Linked DNA regions of Mus musculus. The protein of the gene in region 2 purifies or fractionates together with the protein of the main gene of each other region. This does not show direct contact. Links are inferred from orthologs where the notes say so. Each region holds a gene or a part of one and is shown on either strand. Other genes may lie near its edges.

What was found.
Region 1: the proteins of Tbpl1 (region 2) and Gtf2a1 purify together in Homo sapiens (affinity purification with mass spectrometry; 5 studies listed by BioGRID and IntAct, counting the BioPlex papers as one, with this or other methods). This does not show direct contact. The link is inferred for Mus musculus from reciprocal best matches to the Homo sapiens genes TBPL1 and GTF2A1.

The regions. Positions count from the first base shown.
Region 1 is NC_000078.6:91,565,549-91,569,371, forward strand, and holds part of Gtf2a1 (transcription initiation factor IIA subunit 1), read right to left. Parts: intron 2,723-3,823; coding exon 2,589-2,722; intron 2,313-2,588; coding exon 1,992-2,312; intron 1-1,991. UniProt on the Homo sapiens protein: TFIIA is a component of the transcription machinery of RNA polymerase II and plays an important role in transcriptional activation. TFIIA in a complex with TBP mediates transcriptional activity.
Region 2 is NC_000076.6:22,710,891-22,714,713, reverse strand, and holds part of Tbpl1 (TATA box-binding protein-like protein 1), read left to right. Parts: intron 1-2,622; 5' UTR 2,623-2,665; coding exon 2,666-2,800; intron 2,801-3,823. UniProt on the Homo sapiens protein: Part of a specialized transcription system that mediates the transcription of most ribosomal proteins through the 5'-TCT-3' motif which is a core promoter element at these genes. Seems to also mediate the transcription of NF1. Does not bind the TATA box.

The DNA.
Region 1 (3,823 bases), on a different chromosome or scaffold from region 2:
ACACAGGAAGAGATTATATAATTTTTTTAAAATACAAATCCTTTCGCTGGGCATGGTGGCGTATGCCTTTAATCCCAGCACTTGGGAGGCAGAGGGAGGCAGATTTCTGAGTTCCAGGACAGCCAGGGCTACACAGAGAAACCCTGTCTCGCAAAACCAGAAAAAAAAAAAAAAAAAAAAAAGAAGAAAGAAAGGAAGAAAGAAAACAAAAACAAACAAACAAAAAATCTTTCCTAAGGATACTATCAATATAAGAACTGGTGAGAGGATTATGAGAAAAGAAATTACAAAAGCGTTCATACATATTGACATAAACTTCTGTCAATGTGAGTATAGCAGTTAGGGAGAGAATACATAATGACCAAGCTGTGTCACATAGAGAACTCAAGACTGGTTTGCAAATTAGGACCACTCAAAAAAATTCATAAATAGCCGTCTATGAGTGGGATACAGCAACCAATGGCTGCAGAAAGGCATTTCATAATAAAATACATTTCCTTATAATTTAAAAAAAAAAAGCAAAACACTTGGTGCTCACTTAGCCCCAAAAGACATCTATAAGGGAAAACAACAACAAAAACAACAACAACAGCAACAACAACAACAAATACAGTTAATCATAGAACATTATAAAAAAATCTTCCACATTAAAACACAAAAAAGTCAACGAAGGCATTAGTACAAAACCATGAGGCTGGCGCAACGATGACTATTACAAATTCTGTACATGTCTATAACGCAAGCAAGCTGGAGAAACACAATGTAATGTAAATGTCACTTATGAAAAGACTAAGATTTGGGAAAGGGTTAGAAATAATGCACACTGGCCATTTGACACAGTAAAAATATAGTAACAAGCAAATGCATGCAAAGCAACTGAGGCTCCTGAGTAGTTAAGGAAGTTCCAACTAAAGACACCACTTTTCAGACTGGAAAAAACTCAACAGTCTGCCACTATCAGGAATTGATAACATACTGACATCTACAAGTTACAGACATGGCAGGATAGTCTCAGTCAGGTCAGATGGCAAGTCCATGTTCGTGTGTAATACTAAAGAGAAACTCAGGAGCTCGCAGAACACAAGCCACCCAAATGCTCACTAGATCCAGAAGAGGGCAATCAAATTATAGTACAATCAAGAGTAAAAATGAGCTATAGACTGTGACCTAGATGAACCTTAGTGACATCATTTTAAGAAAATTTAACAGAAACTACATTTAAACATATTGTACTTCTGCTATACATGGACAAGAAAACTCAAGTAGAGGCAGAGGCAGGCTGATTTCTGAGTTCGAGGCCAGCCTGGTCTACAGAGAGAGTTACAGGACAGCCAGGGCTACACAGAGAAACCCTGTCTCGGAAAAAAAGAAAGAAAAGAAAAAAGAAAAAAGTATGAAGATCGGATTATTGAGGACCTGCTATGGAATACAACAAAGGCCAAGCATGGCTGTGGCTGCATCTGTCACATTCAGTTTTTCTCCAGGTTCCTCTCTCCCCAGACCGTCATACCTTTTTAATCACTAAAAGACATAATCAATTACATCTATCTTTTTACCAATACATTATGCTTAAACCACATTTCAGATATCTTTGATCTGCACTATCGTCACTATCCCTATTAATATAGTACCCACTTGATACACATACCTTTAAAATGAGCGTATAATAGTTACTGTTAACACCATCAGGACCTATATTGTATTTCCTGGGAGATGTACCTCACTCAGGGCATATCTATGAGGGATTATCTAGGTCCTGAGCATGCCTACAGTGGACTGTGATAAAAATATTAACTGACTTAGGAAGACTCACACGCCCAAGTGTACAGCACCACACCCTAGGCTTGGGGATTTGACAGTATATGGAAAAAACTAAGTGCGAGCATCCACCTCTCTCTGCCTCTGGGGGAAAAAAAAAGCATATAATTTGCATGCTTAGCAAAAGTGAATGATGAGTGCCTTTTCTTTTCAAAGCTTTTATAGAAACTTACTTCTTCCACCTGCCCATCTTCAGCTCCATCTTTCTCTTTATCTTCTTCCTCATCATCATCATAGTCTTCTTCTTCATCTTCATCTTCCTCAGAAGATGTATCCCCTGTTCCATCAACTTGCAGCACCAACGGAGCTTGCTGTTGGGCAGGCTGGGCCTGTGGCTGCTGCTGTCCGGCTGCAGGCATCGGCGCTTGTGCCGGGGCGGGTGCTGCCACTGTTGTAGGAATGACCTGAGTCTTATTTCCTGTAAATAAGATTTGCTGTGGCTGGATGATGACGCCTGTCTGTGGTGAAATCCCTCCAGGAAGTGGGGCTAAGACCTACAGAAACAAAATCACCAATTAGAAACCGGTTAGAGGGATCAAACGTCCAAAACCAAACTAATAATAATTCAGTTTTAAACAGGAGAAATGTACATTAAGCTTGAAGGCATATAATCTTAACTCAGTACAATTGTTTCTGACTGCTGCACACCTATTAACTTGTCTGGGGGAAAGAGTGGGGAAGCACACAAGAAAGTCATACAACTCCAGCAGCGGCAGAGGCAGAAGCCCAAGGAAATGGATACCACGGGGCCTGTAGGTTATACTGCTTACCTGCTGGATAACAGGAGCTTGGACTCCACCAGGCTGCATTTGTGGTATAACTTGTTGTTGTAGAACAACTGACTGCTGAGGCTGCAAGATATACTGGGCACCATTGGCTGCTCTGACCACCTGAAGCAGCTGGCCTAAGGCAAAAAAGAATATATCCAAGTTGCTATTTCAGTAACAATTAATGCACCAAGAAATGTATACTGCTTTCAAGCCAAAGAATCTAGAAATTACCAAGTTAGAAGACAAGCATCCTACTAAGGGGTATCAACTAACATGAGCTATAACCATTCCTGTTCCCATCTTCCTTGTATATCCAAACAGCTCAGTGATTACAAGCACTGGCTACTCTTCCTGGGAACTAGGGTTCCATCCCTATCACTCAAATGGGAGCTCACAGGCATTTCTAACCCCAGTTCTAGGGAATCCAATGGCCTCTCCTAGCACCCCAAGTAACTGCAAACATGTGGTGCACAAGCAGGCAAAATACCTATACATACAAAATTTAAAACTGAAATAGAAAACTTTATGACAGCCTTAATTACTTTGGTCCCATGGTAGTAGCCAAGGAAGTGTAGTAAACAGGATCACACATTTCAGCAGTTGTTCTTAAACTTTCAAGATACCGGGGCTGCAGAGATGGCTCAGCAGTTAAGAGCACTGACTGCTCTTCTAGAGGTTCTGAGTTCAAATCCCAGCAACCACATGGTGGCTCATGACTACCCATAATGAGATTTGATGCCCTCTTCTGGAGTGTCTGAAGACAGCTAGTGTACTCATCGTATATATAAAATAAAGATATAAAATCTAAAAACAACAACAACAAAAAACCTTTCAAGATACAAAGGTATAGCATCTCATTTATGTCCTAAACCAAAGCAAAAGCTTGGCTTAAATTTTCAACATGCACCAGGTGTGGTGGCGCACGCCTTTAATCCCAGCACTCGGGAGGAAGAGGCAAGCGGATTTCTGAGTTTGAGGCCAGCCCGGTCTACAGAGTGAGTTACAGGACAGCCAGGGCTACACAGAGAAACCCTGTCTCGAAAAAAAACCAAAAAAAAAAAAAAAAAATCAACATGCAATGAAAATTTGCTGAGCCAATTAGAATGCCAAAATTATGACCAAATAACATAACAGTACCCTTGTATATTTCCTTTAGATATAACAGAATCCTTAACAGTGAGCAAAAACATGCAGCAAGACAAAGCCCTAATTGGTTCCTCAAATTTAGAAATTAA
Region 2 (3,823 bases):
TGCTGAAGCAGTGGCTTTGCAGTGAATACCAAGCACTAGGCTAGAAAGTCTGTGACCTAAAGATAGATGCTGTGTTGTCTACAGTCAATGCAAGGGGAAGGCGCGCTCTGCTTCCGTGTGTATGTTACAGAGTGCTAGGAACGTAGCATTTCAGGAAAACAAGACAGCTGTAATTCTAAACAGTTTATTTGGAGATATTTGACCAATCAAAGTCATACTTGGCATTTCCTTGAAAATGAGATAAAACAGTTAAGCCATTCTAAATGTAAGGCCTAGACAGAGAGTGTGCAAGCTGTTGATACCTACATTGAAGTTACTTTACTTTTTAACAGTAAGCCGAGTATGGATTTGTTGATTTAAGAATTCAGATTCAGAGCTGGCGTATAGCTCAGTTGCTAAATTACAAGCTGATGCTCATCCTCAGGTACAGCCTAAGCTACATGAAAGCCTAGTTCAAAATCAAAAATGAAATCCATATTCTACCAGAAATGCTAATGCTCTGAATAGAGACATTAACATTTTGATACGTATATATGATATGTATCTGTGTGTGTATATACACATATATTCATAAATACACACACACACACACACACACAGCCAAAATAAATTCTCTCCAGGCCTCCATACTAGTTAAGTGTGTGCTGCACAGAGGCCGGGGAGGCTAGAGTCCCTGAAGCTGGAGTTAAGGATGTTGGTAAGCCTCCGATGTGGGAACTGAGAAGAGCAGCCAGTACTCTTAACCACTGACCAATCTGAGTCACTAGACACACTAGCAACATGAAGCTCTGTCTAAGCTTTTGTGTTGTGTACGATTCATAAAGTATATCTTGGTGCTGACGAGGTGGCTCAGGGATTAAGTATGTGTTACTTACTGCTCTTGCAGAGACCTGAGCTCAGATATAAGCACCCACCTGGTAGCTTACAACCACCTATAATTCTAGGTCCAAGGGAGCTGATGCCTCTTGACCTTTGAAAGCATGCTCACACATGCGCACACACACACAATAAAAGTATATTTCATAGTATGTGTTATGCTGTTTTAAACTAGTTACTTTTAGTTATTAGCAATTTCTCTGTATTTATTCTTTGCTTAGCTCAGTATTACCAACTGGCAGAAATTCCATTTTTTATATATGTGTGTGTGTGTGTGTGTGTGTGTGTGTGTGTATTATATATGTGTGTGTGTGTGTGTATATATATATATATATATATATACACATATATATATATATATAAAACATGTTACATATATATTATATATTAGGTTCTGATAACCCACTATCACAGTATCTTTTGTAGAATATTTCTATATTAAATTATAAGAGAATACTGTTATGTTTATATTAGAGCTAGGACAGTTATTTGCCATGATAAATGTTATCACATTCTTTTAAGTTAGCATTTCCTCAGCTGCTAACTAGTAAGGTTAAAAAAAGAAAAGAAAAGAATGTTTATAAAATTATAAACTTTGAATAACTCATCCAAGAAACACTAACAGAGTTTTAAATGTTACTAGAATTGACAGGCAGTGAAAACATACCCCAAGGTAGAAAAACGCTGAAGCAGCACATTATGATGGCCTTCAGCGTTTATTTTAAAAAAGAGAAAGGAATTCAAGCTTAAGTAGTTTTCACTTTAGAAGATGTATTGAACAGATCTCAGAGATGAAACAGCATAGGCCAAAAAAATTGCAAAGACAGGGTCAGCTTACTCAGCACAGGAAGGAAGGACTCACCTCTGCACAGTGTGAGCTGCAGAGCAAGGTGGGTAGGCACCGCTCAGGAACAACCGAGGAAAACCAAACAGTAGAGCGATGGAAACAGTGTCTGTTGTCTTAAAACACCAACAATACTGAATTCGTTTTCCAAAAATCTCAAGCAAATAACAAGTTCAAATATTTTGAAAATAAGCTCTTTTATATTGTTTTCCAGAGAATTTTAAAACAATAAGAACTACCCTAAGTTTTCTAAAACTGATATAATCTTGGTATTCAGGTCAAATAGGATGGTACAAAAAAGGGATTCTATAATTATAACCATTAAAATTCTCCTTAGAAATATGGCTACATTAACCCTAAGTGAAGGATTAAAGGAGCTCAAATGTACACATGGAACAGAAAATGAAAGATATGCAGATTAAAGGCCAAAGATACAAGAAAACATACAGTCAGGTTATGGTTTGGTTAATATATAGAACTGAATACTATATGGTTGTATACAGGTTTTAGAAATTTTTATTTCTTAATATTCTAAAATAGGGCCACACCTTATTAGCCCAAGGCTAGCCCTAAACCTGGGGCAGTCCTTCTGCCTCAGCCTCCTAAGTGCAGGGATTCACAGCACAGAATTGAATCCTTTTGTTAAATGCTAGGGTTTTGTATTGTGCCTACAAGGACTCAGAGCCACAAAGTCCAGTCCTTGAGTGTGATATGCGTGGCTTCTCACTGTAACTAGAGCACACATGAAACATGGGGGTGATTCTTGCATGTAAAAGTTACTGGTTTTTAAGGATTGAAAGTTATTTAAAGATAATTTTTTTGCACCTACTGTGACATTTAAGATTATTTGTGGAAAATGGCAGAACATAAAATTTCAGTGACTATTTTGTTTTCTCTCCCAGGATGTGATCTTCGTGGTGGGAACCAAGTTTCTAAACTACCCCAATGGATGCAGACAGTGATGTTGCATTGGACATTTTAATTACAAATGTAGTCTGTGTTTTTAGAACAAGATGCCATTTGAACTTAAGGAAGATTGCTTTGGAGGGAGCAAATGTAATTTATAAGCGTGATGTTGGGGTAAGTGTCTGAGTTTCAGTGTGTGCACTCTCTAGCCTGATCTGACCATGCTTTGAGTGGTACTGTTGTATTGTGCAGATGAATTGTGAGCACCTTGTTATGCTAGGTGTAACTGGGCAGCATGGAGCCCTGTAGAAATGGCCCTTCTCCTGGAGATTACAGGTACAGATAAGAGATAGGACTGACTTTGCATCTTGGTGGCTGTATACCCTAGTTCAAACCCTACTTTAATTCTGTTGTATGTAAATTTCCTGTTCCTTTTTAGTTAGCTAAGTTATATTTTTAAAAATAAGTTGCTAAATAAAATAAGTTGTGATTCGTGCCGGGTGTGGTGGCGCACGCCTTTAATCCCAGCACTCGGGAGGCAGAGGCAGGCAGATTTCTGAGTTCGAGGCCAGCCTGGTCTACAAAGTGAGTTCCAGGACAGCCAGGACTATACAGAGAAACCCTGTCTCGAAAAAAAACAAACAAAAAAAAAAAGAATGTGATTCGTGTTTTAACCTACGTGTAAGATTTTGTTTTATTAAACCTCTTTAATCTATTTAAAAGCATTAGTGTTATTAATAAGTAACAAAATGTTAGTGATTTGATGTCAGCTATATTGACAGTGGATATGCATTTGGCTTTGATAAAGTACATGTTGAAAAATGCAGCCAGGAAACAGTAGAAACATGGGAAATGCAAAATAAAAGTCACCCTAGTCCACATGGCTCGTAGAGAAAAGGGAACAACAGCGACTAGTGTCTTAGTTTCTTTTCTGTCACTTATAGAAGAAAGAGTTTATTGTGGGCTTATAGTTTCAGGCAGTTCTGGTGGGAAGCATGGCAGCAGGCAGGCATGGCAGGCAGGCAGTAGTAGCAAGAGCTCACATCTTGATCCACAAGCGTGTGGCAGAGTTAGGGTCATAGGGGGACTGACACTGGGAATGGCCTGGGCTGCTGAAACCTCAAACCCCAGTGACACAGCTCCTCCAGGGCCACAGCTCCTATTCCTTCCCAAACAGTGCCACCAGCTGAGGACAAG